Danio rerio: one gene and its partners. The main gene of each other region encodes a partner of the protein of the gene in region 2 in a complex. Links are inferred from orthologs where the notes say so. Each region holds a gene or a part of one and is shown on either strand. Other genes may lie near its edges.

Region 1 (5,523 bases), on a different chromosome or scaffold from region 2:
CTCTCAGTAAACAGAACTTGGGGGAAAAGGAGGGCTATATATGTCTGGAATGATTATATGATATGATCTATTGTATGAATATAAAAGCATCAGACCTCTGCCAGGTCCGCCACCTCTTCCAGGTCCACCTCCTCTGCCCTTTCCTTGTGGCTTATTCTGCTGCATGCCACCCCGGCCACGGCCCTTTGACACCACTTCCTCTTTCACCATATCTATAATTTCATCAGGGATTCGCAAGTATTTAATGGTGCTTCCTCTTATGTAGCATTCTGGCATCCTCCAAAACTTATCTCCATCCTGCAAATCAGAGCAAGCAGAAAAAACAGCCGTCACATTTCAGCAAGACAAATAAATAACCTGCAGATTTGTTTAAATAAAACAAACAAGTGTTTTGCTTAATTTTGTAAGGAATCAATAGTCTCCCAAAGACGTTTTCATCTGAATGAAGTCGTATTTACCCGTGAAGTGCAAATAACTTCTCTCAAGTTTATATTCATCCAGTTGTCGCAGCTGACCAGATGGCCGTTGTATGTCTCGCCATTCTTTAACTCAACCAGCTGAAAAGAAAAGCAGATTAACTTAAAAGCTCAATTATTGTTCAGCACTTCATTTTAGGGCTGTGCAATTAATCGAAAATTCGATTTCGGCTTCTAACGATTATAAAAAAACATTAATCGAGATAAACGATTATTCCATTATTTACCGCCCCCGTCCAATTGTCCTCACTTGTTGCTCTTAAAAGCGCGAAAGACCACATGCTTGTGTGTGTGCGCCGCACAGACACAGTCAGAAGCATGCGGTCAGCAGTTGGTCTTATTCGCACATTGCGACGAGCAGAGAGCACACACATCTAAAGTCATTAACGTGAGCGCTTTAATGTTCAAACAGGTGTCAAAACGCAGTATTTAGTGATTATTCATATTAACCCTCATTTGTGTAATAAACAAATGAGTTGAGAATCAAATGACGCGTGAAAGCGAAACCATTAAAGTGACAGAGCACAATAGCTGCCGCCTGTTTTATCATAATTAATAAAACAACGAGAAAATCCCTCTCTGCTCTTAATTGAAGTACTATATATATATATATATATATATATATAAATAAATAAATATATATATATATATATATATATATAAATAAATATATATATATATATATATATATATATAGTCCTATTTGTTTTACTTAAATAAAAGCAGTTTTAAATAAATAAAAAAACATTTTAGGGACAATATTATTAGCCCCTTTAAGCTATATATCTTTCTAATAGTCTACAGAACAAACCATCGTTATAACATTTTGGGTTTATTTGTTTTTCCAAATCATTTTCAGGCCTGGAAAATGCCTTGTCAAAATTCCATGACTTTTCAGGACAGTATGATCCCTGATCATGGCACCTTTAACTTCGTGCTGACAATAAAGATGCACGCATGAAGTGAGCTGCTTGATACTCACCATCGGGTGGTTCTGTGCCGTCTTCAGTAAAGATAACGGGAGCTAGAAAAGAAAAAGAAAGAATTCGAGTGGTCATGCTAACAACAGAGTAAATGAAGAGTTTCTTCTGTGCTCACAATGGAATATTGTTAATTGTTATTCAATTGGAGATTACACTCACTAACCAGAATATGTGACCCTGGACTGAGCATATAGGACAATAACTGGGTTCAAGGTTAACAGCGGTTTGGAAAACTTAAAATTTTAAAATTGCTATTATTTTTCAGATATTTTTTCTATGTTATATGCAAGTTTTGTTTGATTGTTTGATTTCATTTAGTTTTCATTTAGCAACACTATCTCCAGCAGAAAAGGACCCTCTACATCTCAAGACACCGGTTAGCCCACGATTCAGCAAATATTTGAAAAACAAATCGCTTATGGCCTGTTTTCACTGAGTGGTACGGTTCGGTTTGGTACGCTTTTATGGCCATTTGCACTGTCAAAAGGCGAACCGAACTGTACCACTTCTTAGGCACCATTTCGAAAGGATACCAAACACGAGAAAGGGTACCAAAAGGCGGAGCTAGATGTGCAACTGAATGTTCTAGGTTTACAGAAATACGTCATTCGTCTACGCAATAAGCCAGAATGAAAACAAAAAACCTGCCATGTTTAAAATACACAGCCGAGAGATTACAGCGTACAGCATTTAGCATGTATTTGATCATTAAATGTTAAAAACTCAGTCCTGTTATTCATATAAGCCATAACAGGAGCGAATTGCATTCTCTGCTGCATATATAATAATGCAAAAAAAACTATTGACGTAAGATATAGAGGTAAAGTTAGTTTTATTTTCGCATTTTCGTTCATTTAGAAGTCCCTATAATGTTTAACATGAATATTTGATCGGAATTAGCGTGCAAACATGACTTCTAAACAACATTAACACCATCTAATTGACTGTAAACAATGCTGTACTTTGATAATCATTTGGCTGCTAATTTGATTTTCCAATTTAGAATTTGCAAAGAATACTTTTCTATAATTATATTATTAAGGGGAAAGTCTGAATATGCGAATATAAAACTAAACTTACCTCTATATGCAAGATGATTTACTTGATTATTTAGGTACCATTGCTTATATATTTTAAACATTCACTCACTGTCCACTTTATTAGGTACACCAGTCGAACTGCTCATTAACGTAAATTTCTAATCAGCCAATCACATGGCGGAATCGAAATGCCTTCAGGAATGTACACATGGTCAAGATGATCTGCTGTAACGTTAGTTTAAATCGAGCATCAGAAAGCTGGAAGAAAGGGGATTTAAGTGACTATGAAGGTGGCATGGTTGTTGACGGGCTGGTCACTAATGATGTTTTCAAGTCATATACACAAGTATACTTGCATGTGATTTTAGACCAAATGTTTAAAGTACCATGGTAAACAAGGTAGGGAGCATGTCACAAGTTGTCACTGAACGAATGTGCGAATATAAAACCGACTTTGGATATTCTTGATAAAACTACGCCAAAACCTTTCTGACTTCTGAAGTTCCTCGCATGTCTGTAGAGATAATTTAATAGAGTAATAAATGTATAATAGCCGTCTACATTGATTTTTAACTAATTTTATCTATTTTACTAAATAAGTACGTAACGTGCTTGTAAAGATTCGTGTATACACCCAAATAAAACGTTTACACAACGCTTTGTTTCTGCGCGTAATCGGTGTTAACCGACCTACAGATCATCCAATAAACACAGCGGAAAATCTTAATTTCACTAACGTTAGCCAGTAAGTTTATCGACTTCATCTCACCATGTCAGCTGAATGACCAATCAGTCTTTATATGAAGTTTTAATCCACTGAAGACTTCAATCACAAATGATTTTCTGTGAATCTTCTTCGCAGCACAAGGCGATCTGCAAACCACTTACTGTTGTACTTCCAGGTGAAAGCGGAAGTTGTCAAAGCAAAAGTCCCAAAACGCTGCGTCCCAAATCACATATTTATACTACGCCCTAAAAAGTATGTACTTTTTTGTAAAGGAAAAGTTTATACTTTTGAGTGTGCAACAAAAGAGTATGCAAGCTTTGAGACTTACTACTTCCTCCTTAACAGATCGCTGTGTTGCTTAGTTATGCCCCGTGTAAATCATCCACACATCATCCAGCAGCAGGTTAATCTGCCATTTATGAGTCCTTCATGCAGAAAGTTTCAAGGACACCAGGACCATATTAATGTAATTAATGACTGCATGTTGTAGGGGCAGAATGGAAGCAGAAAGGATTCTTTATAAGATAGTTGAGGGAGACTCGGATTTAAAGTCTGACAATCAGACAATTAAATAAATACCTTTTATGTTAAATTTGTTTTGAATTAACATCACCTCTTTTTTTCTTTTGAGTTTGGCTCTCTTTTAGACTAAACTGTTTCAGGAATTTCAACACAAAAGGAAAAAATGGCTTTTGTTTTCTTTTTGTTACATTGATATTGGATTAATATCCCTTTACAGCCATATCCTGTAGAGTTTTGTTGTCCGAGTTTGGCGGTTGTTTTGAACCAAAATGGATAGAGGTAAAGTTGGTTTTATATTCGCATTCAGACTTTCCCCTTAGTAATATAATTTTAGAAAAGTTTTCTTAGCAAATTTTAAATTGGGAAATCGTATTAGTAGCCAATGATTATTAAAGTACAGCATTGTTTACAGTGATTTAGATAGTGTTAATGTTGTTTAGAAGTCAGACTTGCATGCTAATTCCGATCGAATATTCAAAGTAACATGGTAAACAATATAGAGACTTCTAAATAAAGGAATATGTGAATAGAAAAACAGCTTTACCTCTATCTAAAATGGTCCTGTGGTCCACTACAGTGGACATGCTATAAAATAAAAAAAAAGTGTAAAAACTCTAAATTGTGAAAAAAAATTTTAAACCCAAAAGATGTAGGAAATCACAGAAAAAAGCAATAAATAAAATAAAATAAAAAAATCAACACAGATTCATTCATTCATGTAGCAACACAGTCAACACTGCATCACATGTTTATTAAATATAAGCATATTCACGCTATATACATAATATTAAATTGTACAAAAGAGAGGAAATTAAGAGCCAACTTCTGTCGCTTTTGCACTTTTCTCATGTTTTTTCTTTTCCTTTTTGCTCTGGGGGTTTTTTCCTTTGAGTTTCTTATTTTTTCCTCGGATCTTCTCTAATTCATTTTTCCTTTTTTCTTCCAAATCAGGATCCTGCAATAGATTTAAAATTAAATCAAGGAAAAAAAATTGTAAAATTATGCATGTACACAAAAATACTTTATAAGAAACATACAAATATACAAGTTTTTTTTAAAAATAACTCACTTTTCCATCCAGAATCATCTGCTTCCTTTTGTTTATCTTCTTTTTCTCATCAAAATCTGTCGACTCTAATTTCTATAAAAGAATTAACAATTGTAAAACTTTATAGCATGCTTTAGATATATAAGTGTATATATTCTACCTGACAAAAGTCTTGTCGCCTATTTAAGTTTTAGGAACAACAAATAATAACTTGACTTCTTAGGGTTTTCACCTTGGAACAAAAAACATGGGTTATTCTTCTGTCCAATACAACATCTAGTAAAAACAACTTGATCAAATCTAGTCTTAAAATGTCTTCTGTGTGAGATTTCAGGTTGAATTTCATATAATTTATAATTTTCCAATGCATCCCATTCTTCTTGCCACTCGTTTAAAATGTAAACATTGATAAAAGGTCTCATCTTTGATGGAGGAATTTGTAAAGACTCAATTAACTTAATAATAAAGTCATCAGGAATGGCAAAGAAAGCGTTCTTGCAGGACTCCCAGTGTTCATCAAGATTCTTTAGATTCATCTTCAAAGCCGCCTCCATCTTATCCCAGATAAACTCAATAATGTTCATGTCTAGTTACTGGGGTGGCCAATCCTGGAGCACCTTGACCTTCTTTGCTTTCAGGAACTTTGATGAGGAGGCTAAAGTAAGAGAAGTGCTATCCTGCTGAAGAGTTTGCCCTCTTCTGTGGTCTGTAATGTAATGGGCTGCAC
Region 2 (4,987 bases):
GCTTTAATTAGCAGATTACACAAATTAAATTCAGCGAGGACATAAACTAGGTTTTATCATTTAATTTTTTGTTAGAGGTAATGTGTCTTGGTGTTAAATCTATCACAGTACTGAAAATCTGTGCCTGTACTGAATTCAAATCATCTGTTTTTCATTTCTAGCAAGCATACAGCTCACACGATCTCAAAGGGCTCAAGGTTCAACACAAGGTGGAGTCTTTTTCAGAGGGGCAAACAGTTGTGTTAACTTTACAAGACAAAGGTAAGCCAAAATGTTTCTGGGTATTGGTAAAAGTACTGTTCTGTTGCTTTAGATGAACCAGCATCTGTTAAATCGCTGACACCACCTACACACTCTCATGTGGGCGCACTTACAGTTTCTCTGTGTGGGTGATTTTCACAGGCGTTCTGGAAGAGGAGGAGGACGTACTGGTCAATGTGGGTCTGATCGACAAAGAGAAGGCAGAGAAAAACGTGGAGCTGAAGAAAAAGAAGCCAGATTATAAACCATACGAAGAAGAGGAGAGTGTGGATGACATGATCGTTGTAAGATTGCCCCAAAGTTTGAGATGATATATTTTCTAAATGCTTTTTTCAGGGCTTTAAATGAACCTTTTTGCTTTACTTAAAAAATATAGGAGCACCAGCCAAAATTTAGTCGTGACCACCAATTACGAACACAGTTTCTTCAAGTTTCATAAAAAAAGGTTAATGCATTTAAAATCGACACTAATCAAAACTAACAAACAAAAAATCTGCGACCACCAGCCCTGCATGCACTGCTTGACATGAATGAATCTTAGTTAAGAGTAATAACTGCTATTTTCAGGGGTGGTGTCTGATATTGCACTGTTGTTATTGAAATATAACTTATTATTTGCATATGTCATCTTAATAGCAATAACAGTCTTTTCATGAGCTGCAAAATTTCATCTTAGTGAATGCAAGTCCTTTTGCGATGGTGCACACGGTGTTACATTTTACATACAGCTTCCACTTCCATGGCTGACGATTAAATGGATTAAATAAAACCTCTCACACTTAAAGTGAGTAGATTTAGTGGCAAAGGCTATTACCTGCAAACTCCATCACACCTGCTTTACATTGAATGCTTCAATCATTTTATAGCGGACTTTAACTCAATGGAAGTCTTTTATCCACTCTTTTGAAAAGTGTAAATGGTGGATTAGCATTCATCACATGATCACTAATCAGATGTACCGTTATTTGTAAATTTAAGTGTTTTCTAGAACAAAATCTGTCAGTTCTCTCATCTTCAGCTCTTTCCATTTTTGCGCCTGTCATCTGAAGGCAGAAGCTATTGTTTGAGCGATTGACAGTTGATATTAACCAGTCCATTCACTTACAGTTCTAGAGCAGTGGGCCAATCAGAAAAGGGCGAGAGTGGGGCAAGTATTGGGCATTTTAGGTGCAAAGATGGATTGTGCATGAGTGCCCACGCATGTGGTGAACAATTTGCAATGAAAACTGGTCGCACGGCAACAATTTTATGCACTCGCACAAATGCTTCCGATTATATTTTGAGTGCGCATTGATGAAATTTCAGGCACATATGCGACCAAAACAATTTCGAGCCCTGTTTTTGTCTGCACAAGCTAGATTTTTTTCATAAAATTTGTATCAACTGCTACAAAAGTTAGTGTGGGTGGGGACATTTTCATTTTGCTGTCATCAAATGTCCCAACAAATGTATGGTCTAATTCTCCTTTGCAGCTAAATACCTCATTTTATACAGGTTTTTTTTACACTTATTTTTGATTTGTATCAAAAGAAATCTGCACATGGAGTTATGAGTTGTCTTCTTATCGAATGAGGACACATTCTCTTGAATAAATATGATACAGTGATGTATTACAGTGTAATCTTAAGTTCCAGTGCTATGCTTCATGCAAAAACAAGATTACGAGCTTTTTATATTCAAGAGCTTTGTTTTGTAAAATACATGAATTGTCGAGGATACAAGTATTATTCTTATCTATTACTCACAGAAATAGTGTATTGAAATATTTAATTTAAAATTAAATGTAACATCCCGTTTTTATGACAACCGTATACACATCCATGCTAATTCCACTGTCGAATAAAACTAAATATGCTTCAAATGGTTATCAAAATGATCAGATTTTCAGATTTAAACTTGACCAAGAAACTGTTTACAATAATTTCAATATCGTATGAATGCAACATAAGCATCACATTCTCCTAAAATGAAGCAACCGAGCAAAGCCAAAATTTACAAGAGAAGTCTGATGTCATGTCATCTTTCCTGAGCATTTAAATGAGCAAATATTTCCATGTAATATGCAAAATGGTGCTTTGTTTACAGTTTGTGTGTTGGAAGTACTAGTTTTTTTTGAATGAGCAACATTGATTATTTTAGATCATTTTCTGTATTTTATTCGCATGTAGTTCTTTTTGGTGTGTTAGAGTACAGCTGTTGGTCATAATTCCAGCAACACAAGAACACCATAAACTTTTGTCCTCACTAGTTCTTCAGATAAACACTCCACCTTTTTTGGAATTCATTTTACATCTCCCCTAAAGTTAAAACGATTGAGTTTTACCATTTTTCAGTTCCTTCTGCTGAGTTTCTGGTCTGGCAGGAGCACTTTCAGCTTAGCTTAGCTAAATCATTGAATCATTGAATATTACATTAGCATGTTCCTCAGAGTTTTGATCATTTTCCTATTTGAAGGTTGACACTTCTGTAGTAGATACATTACCTACTAAGAATTGAAATGAAATCAATATGGCTAGGAACAATATTCTCATTCTGGCACAACAATCAAGTATTTTTGCTGCAATAAAAATAATTTATTGTTATTTCCACTGTAGTATTTTTAAACTTTAAACCTTTATGTCATCTTTTTCCAGTTTAAGCCAAAGTCTGTGCTGTCCAAGTATGATGAGGAGATCGAGGGGGAGAAGAAAAAGAGCTTCAGGCTAAGTTCTGGAGGTTTTGTTGGAGGTGAGAGAGAGCGAGAGCTGCAGGCCATCAGAGAGAGTCTGCGCGATCAGGCCCAGTCTCTGAGCACGTCTGCCCTCACTCTTGCCACTGAATACTACACGCCACAGGAGATGGTGAGAACCACATTTCAGCAAGCTTGAATTCAAATTGTATTTTATTTTTGACTGATGGTTTTCTTTTTTCCCCCCCTAATGTGTGACTTAAGGTTGGCTTTAAGAAAACTAAACGTAAGGTCAAGAAAATCAGAAAGAAGGAGAAAGTACCCAGGGCTGACGAGCTCTTGGTTGACGACACTCGAAACTCAGATTTCGGATCCAGGTGAAGTTTTCACTCAGTTGTGTTAATGCAGGACACTGCAGGTGAAAATGGTGAAAAAAAATTATCAACTAATAGTTAACATCTTTACTAGTTGATGAATTACATTGACAATTGCAAACATTTTTATTTTACATAGCAAGTTTTCTAAGGTGCTGTATTAATATTCAAATGATGCATGATTTAATTAAACAAGCTAGTTTGCATTTCTCAAACTAAAATCTAAAAATTTGTTGAACTCTGGTTCAGAATGCTTATATTTCTATCAGTGTTAGAATTTTCATCATGTATTCACCCTAAAATCTTATTTATGTATTCATTTGTTTGTTGTTTTTAATTGTATATTTATTAATGTTCTTGCCATAAAAATAGCCTTGAAAATTAGAAATAAAAATTAGAGGTTTCATTTAAATGTATTGGTTCTGGTTAATATAAGAAATTTAATTTTAAATATGATTCTTTATAAACAAATTATTTACACTCCTTGTATCATCATCATTAGAATTATATTTTTTTGACAAATACGAATAGTAGATTTTTATAGGGGGGATCTGCGGAATTTACTTTTATCACTAATCATTTCTAAAGTACTATAAGCATTCAGAAAAACAATATTCATAGCTTTTTGTTTCATAAAAGTAATATGTATAATCAAACAAATAGTGTATGATCATATTCCTCTGCAAAAATCTTCAGAGTATAGATTTAGTGGTGCTAAAGTTTTATTTTGAGAAGATGGCTTTTGAAAAAGAAAATAAATACATTGTAATTAAACTGTGAGTGACCTGACACACTTAAAAGTGTATTTTAAACGTTTACTGCACTTAAGGTCGAAAAATAAACACTATAAAGCCCACAATCTCTAAAATGATTGAAGGTTATGATAAAATAATTATAATCTCTAAAACATGTTGATGTAAAATGACAAGGTGCATGTAAAACATATTTTCCTGCATTATCTTGGCTTAAATACTCGGGCAACAATACAGTTTTCCTGCATTTCTTGGCTTAAATACTCCAGCAACAATACTAATATTTTAACACAATCATTCTGGCTCTCAGGTCTCGAGGTCGAGGTAGAAAAGCAGCAGATGAGGAGGAAGAGGCAGTGCCCGGTGATGTTGTTATAGAAAACATCAGCAAGTCCAGAAATGTCCTCCAGCAGTCAGATGACATTAGAATGGCCGATATGGACATTAGTGATGAGGGTAAGAGAAAACGTCTTCATGTCCAAATTTAAAACTCTTTTTCCTTTTTTCTTTTAAGGCATCTGTTTCTCTCTAGGGGTCTTTGCTTTGATATTCAAATGAGTTGGATCACTATTCTCGGCACTCACAGTGTTTCTCCTTGTCTTTCTCAGAGGATTTTGTCCCCCCAGAGCCGTCTGCTTTAGAAGAGGATGAAGCTGAGCAAGAGCTCCAGAAACAGCTTGAGAAGCAGAGATTACTCCGACAAAAACAGATGCTTAAAGATTCCGGAGAAAGGGTGAGCACTGGATGCTACTAAAGCAAAATAACAAAAAGAATACATGTTTTCCTTATCATTTCATAGTCATTTCATTTTTTTTATATTGTTTCATGCAGTGTAATGACATCAAAATCTGTATGATTTGCTGTGGGTGGTCATTTGTTTGTAACTTATTTATTTATGGTTTGGTTATGGGTAAAGCAAAGACCATGTAGGT
Region 3 (4,336 bases), on a different chromosome or scaffold from region 2:
TCTTCTAAAACTGTATCCCATATTGCAACATTTATTGCAAATTAAAATCTCACACTATCAAATTTTTCTAAAATTGTGCAGCCCTAGTTTACATGCACAGGCTTGTGTTGATATGATTAAACTTTTGAATATCTGTGTTGCAATAGTTTTCTGAACAAAGTATCTGCAGAGTAATAGTTGCATTTTGTGTCAACATAACCTATGCTTGTGTCTCCTGTTTGCTATAGGATTTGCTAAGATGTGTATTTTATTTGCTACAAATAAATTATATTGAATTATTTAATGATTTTGCTGAATATTTTCCCAATACTACCATGTAATATATAAACATAATATAAATTATTACTATATAATATCTAAACTATTACTATATAATATATAAACTATTACAATATAATATATGAACTTTTAATATAAGATATTTAATATATAAACATATTATTAACTTTTCCTATATAATATATAAACCATGAATATATAAGATATATAATATATAAACTAGGCTTGGGCGGTATCCAACCGGCGGTATACCGTCAAATCTCCTCCCTATTTTAACCAGGTATCCGGTATTACCAAGCATAATAAACAAAATTACGACGTAAGGCTCAGACAGCGTCACCAAATTGTGCCTAAACCATTCAGAAACTGATACCGTATATGCGACCTTAGGTTTGCGGTCACCTGTTTGTCTTGTTTGTATTCTTCTGCGTAGGACGCTCTTTCTTCAAACACACACACACACACACACACAGAGATAGAGAGAAAAAGAAGAGAGAGAACCAAGCAACACCCAGCAACTCTCTTTCTCTCTCTCTCTCTCTCTCTCTCTCTCTCTCTCTCTCATTCACACACACACAAACACACACCGAGAGAGAGCACCAAGTGACACACGCAGATTGCATATTCGGAAATGTATTCCTGCACAACAAGAAATCGGGTTGTCCCCCGCGGTACAGCAGCAGGAATGCAGACCTCTAGTTCATATTTACCACGTCTTCCTTCTTGTTCGGTCGAATCCGGAAATACTGCCAAACTGCAGGTCACTTAGTGCGCGACTCGCCACCTCAACTCTCCCTCCCTCTCTCTCCTCCACACTGTCCCGTGATGACAATCACGCATACTTATTTGTAGGCAATAAATAAAGGATATTTAATATTGAATACTTGTCTACTATTTAAATTCAATGTTTTTTATGACGGTATAACGGTACTGAAACTGACACCGTGGCTATTTTTAGATCCTGCGGTATACTATATTACTGTATTACCGCCCAAGTCTAATATAAACATAATTATTAACTATTACTTAATAGTATATAAACTATTACTATATAACATATATAATATATAAACATTATATTAACTGTTACTATATAATAAATAAACTATTACTATATAACATATATAATATATAAACATAATATTAACTATTATTATATAGTATATAAACTATTACTATATAACATATATAATATATAAACATAATATTAACTATTATTATATAGTATATAAACTATTACTATATAACATATATAATATATAAACATAAAATTAACTGTTACTATATAATATATAAACTATTACTATATAAGATAATATATAAACATAATATGAACTATAATTATATAGTATATAAACTATTACTATATAACATATATAATATATAAACATTATATTAACTGTTACTATATAATAAATAAACTATTACTATATAACATATGTAATATATAAACATAATATTAACTGTTACTATATAATATATAAACTATTACTATATAACATATAATATATAAATATAATATTAACTGTTACTATATAATAAATAAACTATTACTATATAACATATAATATATAAACATAATAACTGTTACTATATAATATATAAACTATTACTATATAACATATAATATATAAACATAATAACTGTTACTATATAATATATAAACTATTAATATATAAGATAATATATAAACATAATATTAACTATTATTATATAGTATATAAACTATTACTATATAACATATATAATATATAAACATTATATTAACTGTTACTATATAATAAATAAACTATTACTATATAACATATATAATATATAAACATAATATTAACTGTTACTATATAATATATAAACTATTACTATATAACATATAATATATAAATATAATATTAACTGTTACTATATAATAAATAAACTATTACTATATAACATATAATATATAAACATAATAATAACTGTTACTATATAATATATAAACTATTACTATATAACATAATATATAAACATAATAATAACTGTTACTATATAATATATAAACTATTAATATATAAGATAATATATAAACATAATATTAACTATTACTATATAGTATAAACTATTACTATATAACATATAATATATAAACATAATATTAACTGTTACTATATAATATATAAACTATTACTATATAGTATATAAACTATATATAAACAATTTTTTTCATAACACAGTATGCTCTCTCTATTGTAATACATTTGACATGTTCTTAATAAGCATCATAAGCATTTACATAAGATGTCCAGTTTAAGGTATAAGGGGATATATTTAAATCCCACCCAATACTTCACCATTTCTAACACTTCACAAAAGTCTTAAAGAAATCTTATTAACAATTTTGTTTCAGTCTCATCCTCCAGCGCATATCTCATGTTGATGGTGTTATTTCAGGTCCGCACCACTCATTATTTTAGTTGGAGTGAGTCATCTACATGGCTGCATGTCAAGTTGTTGTCTGTTTTCTCTCGTGTTCTCAGGCATTGTAATATGGTTCTGGAGAATGTGAAAGAAATGTGGACAGAGGTGCCCAAGAGCGGCAAAGGCAAGAAGAAGTCAAAGCCAGTGAACAAAGATCGCTACATCTCCAAGATGTTCCTGAGAGGCGACTCGGTCATCGTGGTGCTGAGGAACCCACTCATCACAGGGAAATAAAGCTGACGTGTAACACGACTGTTCAAGTACAGGCTGTCTCCTGGACACACACTCACTCACACAACTGTGTTAAAAGTGCTAATTAGGCTTTTCAGCTAATTAATTATTACTTCATACACAGAATGCCTTGAGCTGAAACAATAATGTTTAGCTGGAAAACGTTTAACATCATCTGGAGAGATTGTCTGGTCAACAAAATGATAAAGATGTTGGAGTTAATTTTGTTGTTGTTATTGTTTTGTCATTTGTGATTTGTTTTCTAAATAAATTTTTGGATATTCAAGTCTTGATCTATTCAATCTATTGTATGACTCTAGGATGTAGGCATGGAACGATAACCGTTTTCAAGGTATACTGCTGTTCGGAAAAGTCAAGGTATTAAAACCGTCATCATTATCTTTTCATTTGTGTCTAGGGTGTATGTAGGATAATATAGTAAATAGTTTATTTCCTTTTTTTTTTTTTTTTTTTTTTTTTTAGGACAACATTATCTCCAGCTGGAAAAATATTCAAAGATGTCATTTTAAATTGTAAAGAAATCTGTGCTTTTGAAACTAATGAAAACAGCAGAAGTCAATGATTCATTTTCATTATTTATTTAGCCTGACATTTTTACTGTATGAATCCCTTTACATGATCTTCCAGCATTATACAAATTATTTATAGAAGTAACCGACCCATCAGAAAAAAAACTTTAATATTTAGCCCTGTATAAGTCTAAAATTTCACTCATGGTCTTAAGAGTCTTAAAGTCTTGCACTTGATTTGAAGAAACCTGCAGAAACCCTGATGTTGTGCTTCCCAATCTGGCCATTATTGCACATCAGCAACAGCAACAATCCTAATCTCAATACCAAACTTTAACCTTTTTATTTAAAAGGGTCATTTTTAACTCTGTTTTATCATAATGATTTAATTATTTTCCTTACAAAAACATTTGTTTAAAAGTGCTCCATATATTTACTGCTGACACCAACTTGGACAGATTGTGTATAGATTTAGTTTATTAACATTTGATCAGTTGTTTAAAGAGAGTGTATTTTGCTTGCTTGTTTTTATACAATGTTTAAAATATTTTGCCAAGAAATGTCTAAAATATTTAAAAATAAAATGTTATTATAAAATTATTATTGTATTATTAAATGTGTTGAGATGCAGAAACCTTTAAGCACCATCAGAAATTTTCCTCTTAAATGTGCATTTTTCCTTAGCCTTCTGTGTTTGAAAAAATTTGAAATTACTGAACCTACACAATCACCTGAGAAAAATGCATAGAGGTTTTTGCATCTGAAATCTTGATGTATTAAATTATAAAAAATATACTATCCGCTTGTTAAGTGTGAAGCAAAGCGTCTCCGGGTCCAAGCGC
Region 4 (5,506 bases), on a different chromosome or scaffold from region 2:
AAGAAAGAAATGACTTTGTGTATTAAACATATTTTTTATTCATTCATTCATTTTCTTTTTGGCTTAGTTCCTTTATTAATCTGGGTCACCACTGCGGAATGAACCACCAACCTATTCAGCATTTATGCAGCAAATGCTCTTCCAGCTGCAGCCCATCACTGGGAAACATCCACACTCATTCACACACATAGACCTACACTACGGACAATTTAGCTTACCCAATTTACCTAGCCCTATACAACATGTTTTTGGACTTCCACACAGAAATGCCAACTGACCCAGCCGGGGCTGTGAACCAGTAACCATCTGGCTTTGAGGTGATTGTGCTACCCACCGCTCCACCATGCAGCTAAATTTTTTATGTATTTCAAATGTGGGTCAAGAAACCATGTAGCCCATATATCAATATTTAACATCTGGGCCAAATAGCCTTCTACATTTGACATCTGGACCATGTCATGCGTGCCACCTTAAAGGCAGTGCTACCTGGCAAACCTGACCCCTGTTTGGCTTACATGCTGTATGCCAGTGCTGAATAAATGAATGCTATGACGAGAGGGTCTGGGTGCAGACCTGGTGCAGTGCAATCTGAGTTGCATACAATACTTTTTAATAGCCCCATCTAACCCCACCCCTAACCCTACCCATCACAGTGACGTCACTTGCTCCATTTGAGTGCATTGTGTCTGACACTGTATCGCTGATTGATGCAATCTTAGCTTGCATCATAAAGGCTGCATATTGGCTATGCCAGCTTTATACCAAATCTGGGCCAGAATTCCTTGTTACCTGGGTATTGATGTTTCAAGTCTGAATACAACCTTAGGCCTATAATGATTTTTTTTTACTCTGGAAGTGGAACAGTTACAGTATTGTCAAGTTTTACAAAAAATGGAAACCTATTGTGGAAGTGTACTGTGTTCTGTGTTTTGGTTTCCGATTTGGTCCGTCATTCCATCAGAGAGGAGATACTGGGAGATGGAAAAATTAATCAAGCTATAATCAAGCTATAAAACTCCAAATTACCGTGACAAATTACTGTGACATACAGTTTGGTAGCCTATATGATGCAACATTTTGACTGACTGACATGCCCTTTAAAAGAAAAAACTTGGGTAACACTGCTCTAATGTTACAGCCACAGGCTGTACAAAAAGCCAAGCCCCTCTCATGCTATCGATGTAAACAAAGTAGTAATCTGTTCAGATTCATCTTCAGCCTTAGTTAGTATAGCAAACTCAAAATCAGATAGAGAGGATTTAATAACAGAAATCTATTTATCTTTATATAGATTAAAGGAAATAGGAGTAGTCGTTTATTTCTGCTGGGTTCCATCACATATTGGGGTATCTGGTAATGAAGTTGCTGACAAATTAGCAAAGGAAGCACTAAATAAGCAAGAGGAAGTAAATGTACCTCTGGGGAAAAGAGAGGCAAAATCGATTTTAAAGGAAAAACTAATAAATAAATGGCAAATTAGATGGGATAATAGTAATACTGGAAGATGGCACTATAGTATTATACAGACAGTAGGGACAACACTAAATCAAGGAAGAAATAGGAAGGAAGAGGTGTGGTTATCAAGATTAAGATTGGGACACACAGGGTTAAATGCAACACTTGCGTTAATGGGTTTACATGAGGATGGGAAATGTGATGTATGTGGTGTAACTGAAAATGTGGATTATGCACTATTTATATGTAGCAAATATAATAAACATCGCAATATGTTATTCAGTCAGTGTGGGGAAGATAAAACAATATATAAAATTATTCTAGGAAAAGGTATAATAGATTGGCAAGTATATAGAGCGTTTATTAGGTATATAGAGTATTCGGATTTAGGTTATTATAGTCTTATATTTATGGATGAGAGTATTCTCAATCATTGTCATAAAGGCCCTTTATGTTAGAGGAGCTGAACACGCAGTGCTGACATGAGTATGTGGTCTAGATGCAAAGATTGGACAATATGAAACATCCAAGGTGTTTTTTTCCCCCCTTTCCCTCCCTCCTCGTTTCTTTTTGTTGCCCTTTCATCGGAGTAAGATTCGGTACAGTAGGTGGCGATAATGCTTTTAATTGTTAGTCGCCATAAAACAGAAAGAAGAAGAAGAAGAAGATGCTATCGATGTGTGCTGATATCGATTATCCATGCTTGTAATTGGCTTCCGGTCCCGATTATTCAGGTCTGTTATCAAAATGGCGGCAATCACAGCAACGAATCCTTCGCAGCTTTTACCACTCGGTTTGTTTCACTTTCTTTAAAATTGCTTATCATTTACTGACATAACTTTTGTGTTTTTGTACGGGGCAGAGATGCCAATCAGTCACGTTCGTAACTCACTTTGCTTTTTTATCTAATTGAATACACCTGTGCACAAAAGATGTGGCCCTAATCATGTCAATGTGTTTTTATTTTAACTTAAATATTTAATTTCACAAATTTATACATCAATGTGTGATTGATTATATATAAACGGAAGCCAGTTCATTTAGTTAGTGTGGGCGAAAAAAATAAATCACTAATATGTTTCCCTCTGTTGGAGTTTAAAATATTGTAATTATGACTTGGGAACACATTTATCATTAACAATTTCCATTAAGATGTATTTATAAGTAAGATACTCTGAAAATAAAATTTTATGTATGAGTTACGACATTAGAGATACCGTGTCAAATGATTAAAAGCCACTCCACTCTTTACTCGCAGGATTTTTTTGTTGTTGAGTCAAATAAGCCTAAAATTAGTACTTTAAAGAATGAATTTGGTATTAACATATTACTCAATCCCACACCTAGTGTTAAAGCCAAAGAAATTTTAAATTTTATTAAACGTGGTTCGTTAAAAACTTACCTTGGCTGTATAGTTGTTGAAGTAACGTTTAACATAAATTGAATTTCTTTACAAGGTTTTACAGTTGTATATCACACTGACCACTCAAAATGTTTCCTTTAACAGCCAATGATGTGACTGTGTTTATGATGGGGATTGTGTGCTGTCTTTCAGAGCTGGTGGATAAGTGCATTGGCTCTCGGATTCACATCGTTATGAAGAACGATAAAGAGATTGTGGGAACTCTGCTTGGGTTTGACGACTTTGTCAGTATCCTTTACCTACTGGCGGTAAAAAAATAAACAAAACACTGTCAAATATTTGTGATGTTTACAATTTAGTTTTGGATTCAACTTTTTTTTTTTTTTTTTTTTTATAAATACTGCTAGCTAAAGATATAGTTACACATAAGATTTCCCTTTATTTCCCTTAGTCCGTTTATTAATCTGGGGTCGCCACAGCGGAATGACTCGCCAACTTATTTAGCATATGTTTTACGCAGCGGTTGCTCTTCCAGGGTGGAAAATGGCATAACGGCAGCAATGGTTACTGAACAACAACGTTGTGGAATCAGTCTGCCTAAAGAATGTTCATTAGCCTGTGCTTTAGTTTTAGCATTTTAATATAAGAAAATGTCCAACAAAAGAACTCTATCATATTTACAGACTCCAAATCATGCCTCCAAGTGATGGAATCTTCAGAAAATGATCATCCTTTGATTAATGATATTATAACTAAAGTTCACCATTTACAAAACCATTTTTTTTCATATTTTTTTTTTTTTTTTTTTGCTGGGTTCCGGGACATGTTGGGCTTTCAGGAAACGAGCGAGCTTGATCCAGCAGCTAAGGATGCTTTGAAATAAGTTGTGAACGAATGCCAAATTCCTCTTTTAGAGATGAAATCTTTTATCAACGTTTACTTTTTAAATAAGTGGCAAGAGGAGTAGGATGCATTGAGAAATAATAAACTGTATGAAATACAACCTGAAATCTCAAACTGAATTTTTAGTCATTTTAAGACTAAATTTGATTTAGTGATTTTTACTAGATGTTGTATTGGACATGCAAGAATGATCCATGCTTTTTTTTTTTGCTCAAATGTGAAGACCCTGCTCAATATTTGCACATCACACTTTCTTTTACAGTAAAACAGATTTTACTGGATTGTCCTGCTTTTAACAATTCCAGAAGGCTTTTTTTTTTTTTTTATCAAATGATGTCTCTTCAGGACATTTTTAGCAAAATGACACCTGGAAAATAGTAAAAAAATTATAAAAAAATGTATTAGCATTTAAAGATGTATTTAATTTATGTATTCATTTGTTTTTGTTTTTTAATTGTATATTTATTATTGAAATGTTCTTGCCATGAAAATAGCCTTGCATTGCTGACATGGCATTAAATAAAAAAATACAATACACTACATCACATGTTGTCAACAGAGAAATGTAAATGTCTATGTAATGTTATCTTTGCGATGTTGTACATTTCCTTGATGCTTTACATCAGACATGGTCCTAGAGGATGTCACAGAATTGTAAGTATATTTCCTAAACAAAAATATTAAATATTTGCTTAATTGTCTTTGCACAGTGTATTCATGCATTCTCTTCTGCTTTGACTTAAAGGATAGTTCCCTCAAAAATTTTAATTGTCAACATTTACTCAACCTTCTATTGTTCTAAATGCTGTTCGAGTTTCAAACGATCAGTATCCTGTCTCCAAAATTTTAGGTGTTTGTTTTATTAGGATAAACTATCAATAAAAAAAGCACTTTCGTTCTAGAGATTAACTAAAGCTCAAGTTTTATACCATTAGACTATTTATACTGTATTCTAATTATTCTATAAACTATACTGCATAGAGAAGGCATTTTCTAATCTTTTTAGAAACTTTTTTTAAAGTATGCTTAGTTAGAAGTTCAATGGTATTAGCAAATTTTTATCACTATTGAAACCGTTTAATATTTTGTGACATTATTATTAAAGAATAATTCCAAGTATTATCATTGATTAAAAAAAAAAAAAAATCAATTGAATGTGAAGTGTACTTGAATGTGAAGTGTACACTCATGTATTCAAGATGCAAGGAAAATTGGATTATGAAGTATTTTCACAAGAATTTATAGATGTAGGTTACATTTTTGAACACTTGGTATTAAATATTTCCTCATCTCGGGCTTGTGTGTTTGTATCACAGTGAAATCACACCAGAGGGAAGAAGAATCACAAAACTGGATCAGATTCTCCTTAATGGCAATAACATCACAATGGTATGACAAATAAGTTCATCTGCAAGTAATCTCATGCATGCACCAGCAAACAATATTTGCTTTAATGTCATTTTAATTTTTTTTCATTATTTTAAAATGTAATTTTTAATGCAAGTTTATGTACATTTTCTGTTGTCAGAAGTGTTCTGTTTTGGCATTTTGTAAACTTATTTCAATTTTACATTTTTATAAACAAAAACAAAGAAGTTTGCTTCTGTCATTTTAATAATTAGCTTTTTTGCTATTCCAGTTTAATCTCATATTATTTATAATGTACCTAGGGTGTGAATTATACATTGACAAATCGGTGTCAGTGGTCCACTTTTTCAGTAATGTTAGTGTAATACAAGCTTCTGTGAACCAAATTTATATATTTAATTCAAAAACATCTAATTT

The links.
Region 1: sart1 (region 2) and lsm4 share a complex: the UniProt entries of both Homo sapiens proteins name them as parts of the U4/U6-U5 tri-snRNP complex. The link is inferred for Danio rerio from reciprocal best matches to the Homo sapiens genes SART1 and LSM4.
Region 3: sart1 (region 2) and snrpd2 share a complex: the UniProt entries of both Homo sapiens proteins name them as parts of the U4/U6-U5 tri-snRNP complex. The link is inferred for Danio rerio from reciprocal best matches to the Homo sapiens genes SART1 and SNRPD2.
Region 4: sart1 (region 2) and lsm5 share a complex: the UniProt entries of both Homo sapiens proteins name them as parts of the U4/U6-U5 tri-snRNP complex. The link is inferred for Danio rerio from reciprocal best matches to the Homo sapiens genes SART1 and LSM5.

Annotation. Positions count from the first base shown.
Region 1 is NC_133186.1:6,965,339-6,970,861, forward strand, and holds the start of lsm4 (U6 snRNA-associated Sm-like protein LSm4), read right to left. Parts: upstream 3,387-5,523; 5' UTR 3,272-3,386; coding exon 3,269-3,271; intron 1,501-3,268; coding exon 1,459-1,500; intron 558-1,458; coding exon 459-557; intron 298-458; coding exon 96-297; intron 1-95. Other genes in the region: probable ATP-dependent RNA helicase DDX49, read right to left, coding at 4,560-4,703, 4,818-4,889. UniProt on the Homo sapiens protein: Plays a role in pre-mRNA splicing as component of the U4/U6-U5 tri-snRNP complex that is involved in spliceosome assembly, and as component of the precatalytic spliceosome (spliceosome B complex).
Region 2 is NC_133196.1:30,350,624-30,355,610, forward strand, and holds part of sart1 (U4/U6.U5 tri-snRNP-associated protein 1), read left to right. Parts: intron 1-161; coding exon of another isoform or gene 162-261; 5' UTR 262-313; coding exon 314-327; intron 328-376; coding exon 377-545; intron 546-2,894; coding exon 2,895-3,101; intron 3,102-3,193; coding exon 3,194-3,306; intron 3,307-4,365; coding exon 4,366-4,511; intron 4,512-4,663; coding exon 4,664-4,788; intron 4,789-4,987. UniProt on the Homo sapiens protein: Plays a role in mRNA splicing as a component of the U4/U6-U5 tri-snRNP, one of the building blocks of the spliceosome. May also bind to DNA.
Region 3 is NC_133193.1:43,800,771-43,805,106, reverse strand, and holds the end of snrpd2 (small nuclear ribonucleoprotein Sm D2), read left to right. Parts: intron 1-2,792; coding exon 2,793-2,967; 3' UTR 2,968-3,250; downstream 3,251-4,336. UniProt on the Homo sapiens protein: Plays a role in pre-mRNA splicing as a core component of the spliceosomal U1, U2, U4 and U5 small nuclear ribonucleoproteins (snRNPs), the building blocks of the spliceosome.
Region 4 is NC_133187.1:13,906,162-13,911,667, reverse strand, and holds the start of lsm5 (U6 snRNA-associated Sm-like protein LSm5), read left to right. Parts: upstream 1-2,120; 5' UTR 2,121-2,202; coding exon 2,203-2,248; intron 2,249-3,010; coding exon 3,011-3,106; intron 3,107-4,347; coding exon 4,348-4,375; intron 4,376-5,037; coding exon 5,038-5,110; intron 5,111-5,506. UniProt on the Homo sapiens protein: Plays a role in pre-mRNA splicing as component of the U4/U6-U5 tri-snRNP complex that is involved in spliceosome assembly, and as component of the precatalytic spliceosome (spliceosome B complex).